Linked DNA regions of Arabidopsis thaliana. The protein of the gene in region 2 interacts with the protein of the main gene of each other region in a pairwise test. Each region holds a gene or a part of one and is shown on either strand. Other genes may lie near its edges.

Region 1 (5,639 bases), on a different chromosome or scaffold from region 2:
CCTCTCAACAAAATCAGAACCCCAAGGAAAAATCAGAGATTGCTCACCATGATTAACAAACAAAAACTTGTTCTGACATTTTTTTTGTTGTTGTGATTTTTGATTTTTTGAACTTGTTCGACTTTGTTTGGTATATATAACTGATTGAAAGGCGTTGTAACAAATAAACACAGCAAAGATGCTGAATCTGTCTGCCAGTTTGATCAAACAAGATATGTGATTTCTACAGAGCCGTTTATAATGCTCAATTTTGTGTTCGTTTATATGATTTTAAACTGACATGTGAAGAAAAACAATCTATGTCGGTTTGAAGAACAAAATAATGGTTTGTGTGTATTACCAGTCATTTAATATGCTTAGTTTAGTTTTGCTATGCATTTACTATTCAACTTGTTAAGCAACGACTCTCTACGAAACGATTGAGACGATAATTGTTCAAACGGAAGAGCATGATGATATATTAGACACTCCAAACAAAAACCACGAAATCCAACATTTTAGTTTTTTGAGAAGAAAAAAACAGACTGCGATAACCGGGAATAGGTACGCATGATGAGATCGGTTTGATTTAGTATTTTAACAGAACATTTGGTGAGACAACTTTTAAGAAGAGGGAGAAAGAGAACCGGTTACATCATTTGGTGACTAACAGAGAGAGACAGAGCTTGCAATATTTTCCATCATTCCTCCTCTGCAGCACTAGCTGCGTTAAGATCCACACTTAGATCCAGTTCCTGCAACACAAAACAATGATCACTCCCCAATTACAGAATATGTCGCCGTCAATTAATAAAAACCGATATATTTGTGATTCTAGAACATTACCTTTCCGGTGATCAATTTATACATGTTCAACACATCAACAACAGTTGTGTCAAAGTGTGTTGTAGCATCATAACTCTGTTCAGGACATGAACAAAAAAGGTTATTAGAAACCAGCCAACTTTAAGATGCTCACTAAAAAAGGGGTAGAGAAACTAACCGTTGATATGAAGCAGTTGTCCAAAGTGGGTTCGTTGACAGGCTCATATCTATCATAGATGTCGAAGAACAGCTCATCAACAGGACCAAGAAGGTCGATTCCAGGCTGGAGCTCGGTTTGAGGGTTATCAGTTTCAGCGTCTGTTGACACAAATGCTATGAACTTTCCCTTGGGAGCAACGTTGTGTGAATATGAACAACAGAAGACATACCTGTCAGTTACAATAAAGATGTAATCATGAGCCGAGAAACAAATATATCAATCGACTCAATGTTACACACTGCCAAGTTTTATAGAGTGTATGTGTTGTAATCAAGAAATAATATAGTTGAGAAGAGTGTGTAGCAAGGAAGGTATCTCAGCAAGCTCAAGAGAATAATTCAGACAAAGATTAGCTAACACATTATTCAAACACATTTACATAAGTGAAACCAAAGGATGAATAAGAGAACTCACATGTCTGATTTGCGGCCCAATTGTTTTTGGGGTAGAATGACTTGCACCGACTGAGAATCATTGGTGTTTGGAATAGGGTGGCTCATAATGGCAATCGCCCGAGCAACCCTGCCAATCTTCCTGACCTGTTTGAATTGGATTATAAAACATTTTAAAATAATGTTAACATACAGGCTCACATTGTTAAAATTGCCTAAAAGGCTCACATTCATAACAACAGACCATAAAACAGAGATGAGAGATATATGCATGCAACAAAGCTAATGTTACTGTAGGATATCCGGTCACAGCCATTACCTTGTTGGTTAGGTAAGAAGGATCGCAGACAACTTTCTTGCATTTGGCAGTCTCTCCCTCAGATGTAACACCAGAAACCTTACCCTCCTCGTCAAACTCTACCTGTTATAAAAGCAATATTAGGTTATCAGATCTAGCATCCATATAGTTAACGACAGAAAAAGTTGCAGAAACGACCGAAACAAAAAAGCCACAAAGATAAGGAAGTCAAAGACGCACCTTGCACTCAGGTTTGTTCAACATATACGTCCCACCATAGACAGCACTAAGTCGTGCAAATGCCTGAGCCAAGGAAGATAAGAGAGAATTTAGAAACTATAGTCCAAAACGCCAGAATAGTTGCACCAACCAAATAAAGCAATGTACAAAAGAAGAAAAAAACCTGAGGCAATTCTCCCAACCCATAGAGAGGATAGATATATGGTGAACCTCCTTGAAAACGTGCAAGGGACTCTGCGTAGAGCTGATAAAACATTTAAAGCAACAGAGTCAAACATGAAATACTGAGAGCAAAAAAGAAGACTTCGAAAACAAGGGGATCCACACTTTAAAGTCCCATGAGAGCAATTCACCTTCATTCTCATTACAGTATCATAGGCAGGTTGATGGAGATGATTGTCATTACAGTGAAGTGCCACTGCATGACCAATAAAGTCAATAGTATCTTCTTTAAGACCGAATTTCCTGCCAAAGTGTTAAATTGATAGTTAGCAGCAGATAGTCTAAAACAAATATTGACAACACCATAATGCAAAAGACAAGAGAACATCAGCTTACGCAATCAAATCCTTAGTTGTAACTCTCCTCAAATCCATTCCATCATGTGTTTTTGGGTCCTTCTCGTCGTATTCTTGAACATAGCTGAAAAACTTTCCAGCTCGACGTTTCTCAAAAATACCCATAAGAGGAGATTTGAGGGCCTCCATGGGAGTTGCTGGCACTTTTTGGACCTGTAGCATATAAACAGTTAATATAACTAGAAAAAAATTACTTAAGCTGCAAAGCTAGAATGATCAGTGAAAAGCTTTTGACCAAGATCAAACATGGGAGAAAAAAAGATGCACAAACAGACTTGAAATCTATGGAAAAAAAAGAGAATGAGGCACAAGATAAAAATGAAAATGAGTAATCAATGTACCTTGCCTTGGACAAAAACATAGCTTCCATCAACAGCTTTAAAAGACAAGTACTTGGTCACATCCGTATGAATAAGGACACGAACAAGCTTTCCGTTAGCCATCATAAACTGGTGCGCCACATTGACAGAGAACAGTTAGTAATTCATATTGGTAACAAGGAAGCTAGATAAGCTGGAAAGTAGCTAATATTGATAACCTTTGGCATCATGTCAACATTGTAGTCTCTGCTAGAACCTAAATGAGCAGGAGCCTTCTCTTCTCCCCTGAACTTCTTCCACAGCTGTTTAAAACAAAGCAACATTCAATAACTCTCGCTGATTATAACTTACCACAAAAAGTCTTCATATATATTTAACAAAAATATTGACCTGATTGAGATTAAGAGAAGTTGACTCTCCACCGTAGTAGTCATTCCTGTCCATGTGAAGTACCTAATTGGAATATAGATGAAATTAGTAGACCATTAGATTACTTATAAAAAGAAGTAAACTTGGCGACAAAGTCAGCTAATCAATCACATAGAAGATATAGGAGTGGAGATGATGAAAATTTAGTCTTTTTACGCAATCTCAATAACTAACTAAATGCATTAAATTCAGATCATTGTCAAAATCGCGAAGCCAATTGATTCTCATGTTGAAGCTCACAAAGCAACCAGCTTTAAATCACACAATCGGAGATAATAATCTCAACTAGATCCGTTGTTCATCATGTAAGTAACGAATTAAGAGTATTGAAAATCTCCAGATCAAGCATGGATTCAAAAAGAGAGAGAGAGACCTTAAGACCATCGACGGAGAGAAGACCACTAAGGATGCACTCCTTGAGACCAGTACCCAGAACTATGACTTCGTACTCTTCATCCATAGTTGCTGATCCTCCAAAGAGAAGAAAGAAATGGACTTTTGATATGCGACCGTCGAGAGACTCGAGAGAGAGAGAGAGAGAATCGGCGGTGATTGCGTCTATAGAGAAAATCAGACAAGTCCAAAGATGCTTTCTTTCTTATATGCTTTTTCTCTTTTTTTTTTCTTATTTGGCTATTGAAATTTGGATAAATCTAAATATTATTACCAAGTAAAACTTAAAAGTAATTTTGTGTGTGTAATAAATAGATTTACAATAATGTTTTTGCTGTCTGAAGCAATCTAATAATTCAATTAGCATTTTCTAAAACAATTCCGTTTTTTTTTAGGGTAATAAATAAATAACCAGTCGATTAAACCAAAAAGACAAATATGAAAATAGAGAAAATGTCATCTTCTGTTCTGTTCTGTGAGTGCAAAGCAAATTTATTTAATTAATTTTGTCAATTATTATTTTTACAATAAAAAAATAAAAAAAAATTCTCTCATTGTTCTCTTGACCTCTCAATGAAAATCTCGTCCAGGTTCGCTCATCTTCCCATCTCCTCTACGAATGTTCTTCTTTGGTAATTTGCAAATTCACATCTTTCTTCTTCTTTCCGATGCAATTTTCATGGCCGAATTCACAATTGCTGTGCTCGGCCATGGATTCTGATTGGGATCAGTTTCTGTTTTTATTTTATTTTAAGGTTTGGATGCTTCTGTTGACTACGTTTTGCTAAAATTCAGACCCTTTTCGCTCTCGTGAATCGATTCTACCGCATTTTCTGAACGAAATCTCTAGTCTCTTTTTTCTTTTCTTCCTGGGTTTGATTTCTTGGAGTGGTTGATTGCGCAAGTCTGGATTTTGATTTTGGTACAAGACATTTGCTTGTACAAGGAGGAAGGGATTTGTTGGTATACAGTATTGTTATTGCAAAGGTTTTTCGAATGTCAAAACAAGTTTTTGGATTATTGATTTTGGAAATCTGAGTGGATGGAGAACGATGACATGTATCCTGATGAGCCTGTAGGTTCTGACTTGGAACCTCAAGAGAGTGATGTTGTTTTTGCAAGAGAGTCACCTCTTGTAGGTATCATCACTCAACCGACCAAATGCTCTGGATCTACTGCAAAGATACTGAAATGCAGGGGTCTTGAGCAACAGAAGAAGCTTAATAGACAGGATAGAATCGAATTGGGACGGCTTTTCCAAGGTGCTGTTAGCTCACAGGATTGGCAACTTTCAGAGAGATTTATTCAGCTGGCTGATCCACAAACTTTGAATGATCTGTTGTGTATTAGTTTAGATTCTATTTGGTTCTTGAGCACAGAGCATGAGTTACGGGGAATCACTGAATTGATTGCTAAGATCATATGTCATGGTGCTCAGGACTATACTAGAGCTACACTTAGGACTTCCTTTCTTGCTTCTTGTGTTTCATCTTGCCATAGCCGGACTGTGAGTCTTGCTGATACTGTAACTGTTATGGCTCAAAGGTACACATTTGATACTTTCTCTTATAAGATGTTTCCCCTTTTTCTCAGTATAATTATGGTAAAACACTTTTGGATTATTGGAGAAGTTGGTTTCTGTTATGATACCTTGTTTTTGCTTTATATGATCACTACATTGTGTCTTACATGTTACATTGGTTGGTTACATCTGCAAGTGTTTTAGTGTTGTTAACTTTTCTTAGAAATCGCTTTTTGTTAAATCTATAGTATCTCTTATGTTCTTATTCCTCCTGGTTTATCTTTGGTTAGCTGGGAAGGGTGAGATACCCTTTCTATATAAATCCATTTTTTCCCATCTCGGCGTTTCCAGGTTGCACGAGCGTCTCCAAGAGTGTAACGGTGATGAGGTCCTCAAAGCAGAAGCTGGTGCTAAAGTTCAAAAGTTTACTGAATGGGCACTCA
Region 2 (4,790 bases):
AATTCTTAAGTGATTGAAAGACATATTAGGTGAATATTAGTTCACTAAACGTCATGACACATATCTAATCATTTCAATTAGTTTAGGAATCGAATAATACGTGGGTCTAAATCAAGGGGCAGATAACGCAAAGAAAGAGATTGATCAACAAACATATATGTTTGGTAAAGAGAAGCCAAGCTTATTCACCATAAATTTTATTTAATCAATGATTTATTTTTCCTTTTTTTTGTCTTTTCCGGTGAGAGTTAAAATCAATCATTCTATTATCTCCAAGGGGAAAACGTCTAGTCAATAAGCAAAATGAATATCAAATAAATTTGATTAAAAATGTAAAATCAAAAGTTTTGAGGTTCTGAAATCATTGAAGATTATAGTCTAAAGATCAGGTTAGGTCTATGTGGAATTGATATGTATGGAAGACACTCTGGCTCATTCAGAAGGTTTCAAATAAGCTGGTTTAGATACTATTGTCCAAGAAAGACAAGTGCTCTCTCATTCTCATTGGTTCGCGCGTGTAAGCTCTCATTGTCTTTAGGTTTGGAACATAATCCTTAAGACAATTGGTGTGAATCTAGGAAACAGAGAAATCAAGGATTCGTGGTATATTTACAGATCAAAATGCAAACAAGAATACAAATACTTGTTACTAGTTCTTCAACTTTTGTCATTTTCAGACTACAAACAACAGATTTTTGATTCCTTGGGTAAACAAGTTATGAAAAAGGAGAAAACAAATACTTATAGCTCTAATTCTCCTGTTGATTCCTTTCTTCTTGTTGAATCAGAGTATAGAACAACCTTTCTGAGATTTTCTCTTCTTCTTCTTCTTGTTTTTTGGTGGCTGGAGAACGACCTTGATAGCCGCATCAAACACTGCTTTCACATTCTGTTGAACAGATAACAGATATAGGAATCATCAGCAGATTCAATTGGCGGTTTTAGACAGGTAAAGATTAGATAAAGATATTGACTCTCAGGTTAATACCTGTTGAGTTTTTGCACTGCATTCGATATAAGCAGGCGCCCCAATCAGCTTCTTTAGTTCTTCACCCTGTTTTGATACCATCAAAATATGAAACATGCAGAATATTAACACCTAGGATTCAGTTTAGAAAGATAATGAGAAAGGTACCTGAGCGGTAGAGATAGGCACAGCACCAGGGTGCTCGGCAAAGAATTGCTTATCATCTCGAAGATCTGTACGAGACTCAGTCATCAAAATATCAGAAGAGTTCCCCAAAACAGAAAACCCCCGATAATCAGGCGATTAAGAGTTGAGCTAAGAAAAAACCAACCAAGCTTTGTTCCAACGAGGATGATGGGAACACCAGGAGCATAATGTCTCAGTTCAGGAACCCACTAAGAATCAAAAGCAAGATACCAAATGTATTCTATCAGAATCACTGAATGTAAACTGAATAAAACAGGAAAGAAGTTTCAGGAGAAGACCACAGATCAAACCTTTTTAGAAACATTTTCATAGCTAGCTTTGCTGACAAGTGAGAATGCAAGTAAGAAGACATCTGCACCGCGATAGCTCAAAGGTCTTAGTCTATTGTAGTCCTCTTGCCCTGTTTCACCAAGTCAAAAACACAAATGACTCTCTGGAAGAGGAGGAAATTCAAAAGACAAAAAAATCCAAGGTAACAACTTGCCTGCAGTATCCCACAATCCCAAGTTGATAGTGTTGCCATCAACAATCACATTGGCACTGAAATTATCGAACACAGTTGGCACATAATCCTGTCACATAGAAAATTCCACTAAAACATCAGCTACAAAATCTCCTTACAGAAAGTTACCTAACACTCTTTCTAAGATCATTAAACAGATCAACAACATTGCTACGGTACATGAATCTCTGAGTCTCTCAAATCCTAAAGATCACATCAGTACATTCACTAAGGTAGCAGAAAGAAGAAGACTTTAAGAAAACCTAACAAATACTTGTGACTAAATCCAACTCATAAGCTTCAACAACAAAACCAACTTCACCAAGCTAAAATTTCACGAAATCAAAGTAAAAGAAGAGAACTTTAAAGCTAACCGTGGGGAAAGTGTTGCTAGTGTAGGAGATGAGAAGACAAGTCTTTCCAACAGCACCGTCGCCGACAGTGACACACTTGATAAACCTTGAAGCACTCATCTTTCTCTCCTTCTTCAAACTTCAAAAACCCTAATTTGTTCACGAATTGGGGATTTTTGACTAAAGAGAGAGAGAGTGAGGTTCTTTAAAGAGAAAGAAGACAAAGAAATAGCTGCTGAAAGTCTCTCCCAGACTAGAGTCTTCCTAATTTTTACTACTCATCCTCACATGCACCTCAATTTCTTGGTCTTCTTCTTCCTTTTTTTTCTTCTTTTTACTAAAATTTTATAAAATAGCATTTCTTCTTAGATAGTGCGTTTCCCAACATAAGACCCTACAAAAATTTATGGGATGAAAATTATAATAATAATTTCTATGTACTTTTTTTTTTTTTTTTTTTTAAACTTCGTTTTCATCTAATACTATGCAGCCCATATACTAAATGCCTAAATCTATACATATTTAGATTGATCTTTAAATATCAATAAAAAATTTAGCTAAATTTTGACTGGTTTAGAGGATTTTTCCGATGTGTCATTAGGATTATACAACTATGGTTTAAATATCAATAAAAAATATAGCTGGTTTTACAATGCAATATGATTGGAGTGTTAATTTTTATTGATCAGCCTCCTTTGGATACATATTCTTCTGTTACATGTTAAATGATAATATTTTTGTCCCGGTATGTTGAAGTAAACATTAAAAATGTACATACAACTTCTCTAAGAAATAAATGTTGAGACACTAAAAAAAACGTGAACTTAAGGTCAATATTTAATATTTTTATAACCAATCACGGTATAAAGGCTTACCTTTTGAATCTGTCTAGCTAGTTATTGACCGTTAATTTTAAAAACACTTATTGACCGTTAAAGAATCTGTTATGGGGACCCAAAAAAAACGAATGGTAATTTCACTAATTTGTTATGTTATGTCCAACATAATAGGCGAAGAATAGGGTGAAACCAACATTTAAAAATAGCAAAAACAAATTAAAAAAAAAAAATCGAAAAGGAAAAATGAAGAGAGTTTCAAAGTTACAACGGTGGATTCTATTTCAGACGCGTAAATTTCTCCGGAAACCTGAAAACCTGAGTGCGAAACATTCTCTTATATCATCCTCTTTTCTGAAAGCTTGTTATTTGAGCTCTCCTTGTTTTTTATTCCTCCGACAAGGACGAGGTTCCAAGAGAACTTAGCTTCTTGTTCTACGTACGACACCAAAAATTAATTCAAAAAAGAAAAAGAAGAGAGTTCAATGAGAAAACATTCTCTTGATCGATGGCTTTTAACAGCTGTTCTTGTCGTTCTCCTCTCGTCTTCTTCCTCCTTCGCGGCCAAGAAGGACGCCAAGAAGAAGAAGAAGAGTAATAAGGAGGTGACATATGATGGAACCTCTTTGATCATCGATGGCAAAAGAGAGCTTCTTTATTCTGGCTCTATTCATTACCCGAGAAGCACTCCGGAAGTATTTATTGAATCACATAATCTCTGTTTTTCTAAAACGTTTTTTTTTTTTTTTTGTATATTGAGATTATTGTGTCATTTGGGTTTGGTTTAGATGTGGCCAAGTATCATCAAGAGAGCCAAGCAAGGCGGTTTGAACACGATTCAGACATACGTTTTCTGGAATGTACATGAGCCTCAACAAGGAAAGGTAATTCATAACCAAAAACTGATCTATATATAGAACATATAAAACACGCATGCATGAATCTTTAGGATTCATAATGTATTTTGTGTTGCGTTCATCAGTTCAACTTTTCGGGACGAGCTGATTTGGTGAAGTTCATAAAGTTGATTCAAAAGAATGGAATGTATGTGACCTTAAGGCTTGGACCGTTCATCCAAGCTGAATGGACTCATGGGTAATAATGCATTGCTTCTTCTTCTTTTTCGGCGTTCTCAAGATCTTCATTTTAACATTTTATATGATCTCTTTGTGATGATCAGAGGACTTCCTTATTGGCTTAGAGAAGTTCCTGGAATTTTCTTCCGTACAGACAATAAACAATTCAAGGTATTATACATAGAATTACTATATATATGTCAATGTGTGTTTTGTTACAATTAGATATATTACAAGATATGACCATAAAAATATTGCAGGAGCATACAGAAAGGTATGTACGGATGATACTCGACAAAATGAAGGAGGAAAGATTGTTTGCGTCACAAGGAGGCCCCATTATATTAGGACAGGTGACAACAAAGAAAAGAGAAACCTATATATTTATATATGATTTGAAAAATGTTATAAAATGATGAGTTTTGGAATGAATATGAATTGCAGATAGAAAACGAATATAGCGCGGTTCAACGTGCATATAAACAAGACGGGTTAAACTACATTAAATGGGCATCTAATTTGGTGGACTCAATGAAACTCGGGATCCCATGGGTTATGTGCAAGCAGAACGACGCTCCTGATCCTATGGTAAAGTTCATTTTTACATGATTGTGTTTTATCCGAATGAGGAAGAAAGTTTTAAAATATTTGAAAACACTGTGGAAACAGATCAATGCTTGTAATGGAAGACATTGCGGTGATACTTTCCCCGGTCCAAACAGAGAAAACAAACCATCTTTATGGACTGAGAATTGGACTACTCAGTGAGTTTGTTTTTCTTACTCTTGAATTAAACATGTAAAAACCTTAGGTTCATTCATATAAGTGTTGAATATCTTGCCAATTTCT

The links. The genes of interacting proteins can lie anywhere in the genome.
Region 1: the proteins of RAC3 (region 2) and GDI1 come close enough for resonance energy transfer, tested with the Arabidopsis thaliana proteins (one study listed by BioGRID).

Annotation. Positions count from the first base shown.
Region 1 is NC_003071.7:18,239,906-18,245,544, reverse strand, and holds GDI1 (guanosine nucleotide diphosphate dissociation inhibitor 1), read right to left. Parts: upstream 4,077-5,639; 5' UTR 3,742-4,076; coding exon 3,655-3,741; exon of another isoform or gene 3,306-3,654; coding exon 3,243-3,305; intron 3,155-3,242; coding exon 3,071-3,154; intron 2,982-3,070; coding exon 2,874-2,981; intron 2,686-2,873; coding exon 2,513-2,685; intron 2,420-2,512; coding exon 2,308-2,419; intron 2,199-2,307; coding exon 2,118-2,198; intron 2,018-2,117; coding exon 1,955-2,017; intron 1,838-1,954; coding exon 1,736-1,837; intron 1,564-1,735; coding exon 1,439-1,563; intron 1,194-1,438; coding exon 983-1,193; intron 901-982; coding exon 826-900; coding exon of another isoform or gene 814-825; exon of another isoform or gene 735-813; coding exon 681-734; 3' UTR 537-680; downstream 1-536. Other genes in the region: MLO15 (Seven transmembrane MLO family protein), read left to right, coding at 1-56; AT2G44090 (Ankyrin repeat family protein), read left to right, coding at 4,717-5,219, 5,548-5,639. UniProt on the Arabidopsis thaliana protein: Regulates the GDP/GTP exchange reaction of most RAB proteins by inhibiting the dissociation of GDP from them, and the subsequent binding of GTP.
Region 2 is NC_003075.7:16,670,535-16,675,324, reverse strand, and holds RAC3 (RAC-like 3), read right to left. Parts: upstream 3,134-4,790; 5' UTR 3,082-3,133; exon of another isoform or gene 2,905-3,081; intron 2,542-2,904; exon of another isoform or gene 2,494-2,541; 5' UTR 2,471-2,493; intron 2,407-2,470; exon of another isoform or gene 2,360-2,406; 5' UTR 2,150-2,359; coding exon 2,051-2,149; intron 1,747-2,050; coding exon 1,659-1,746; intron 1,575-1,658; coding exon 1,465-1,574; intron 1,363-1,464; coding exon 1,299-1,362; coding exon of another isoform or gene 1,219-1,298; exon of another isoform or gene 1,201-1,218; coding exon 1,136-1,200; intron 1,055-1,135; coding exon 989-1,054; intron 890-988; coding exon 785-889; 3' UTR 536-784; downstream 1-535. Other genes in the region: BGAL11 (beta-galactosidase 11), read left to right, coding at 3,351-3,560, 3,654-3,749, 3,848-3,960, 4,046-4,112, 4,202-4,294, 4,386-4,529, 4,611-4,705. UniProt on the Arabidopsis thaliana protein: Inactive GDP-bound Rho GTPases reside in the cytosol, are found in a complex with Rho GDP-dissociation inhibitors (Rho GDIs), and are released from the GDI protein in order to translocate to membranes upon activation.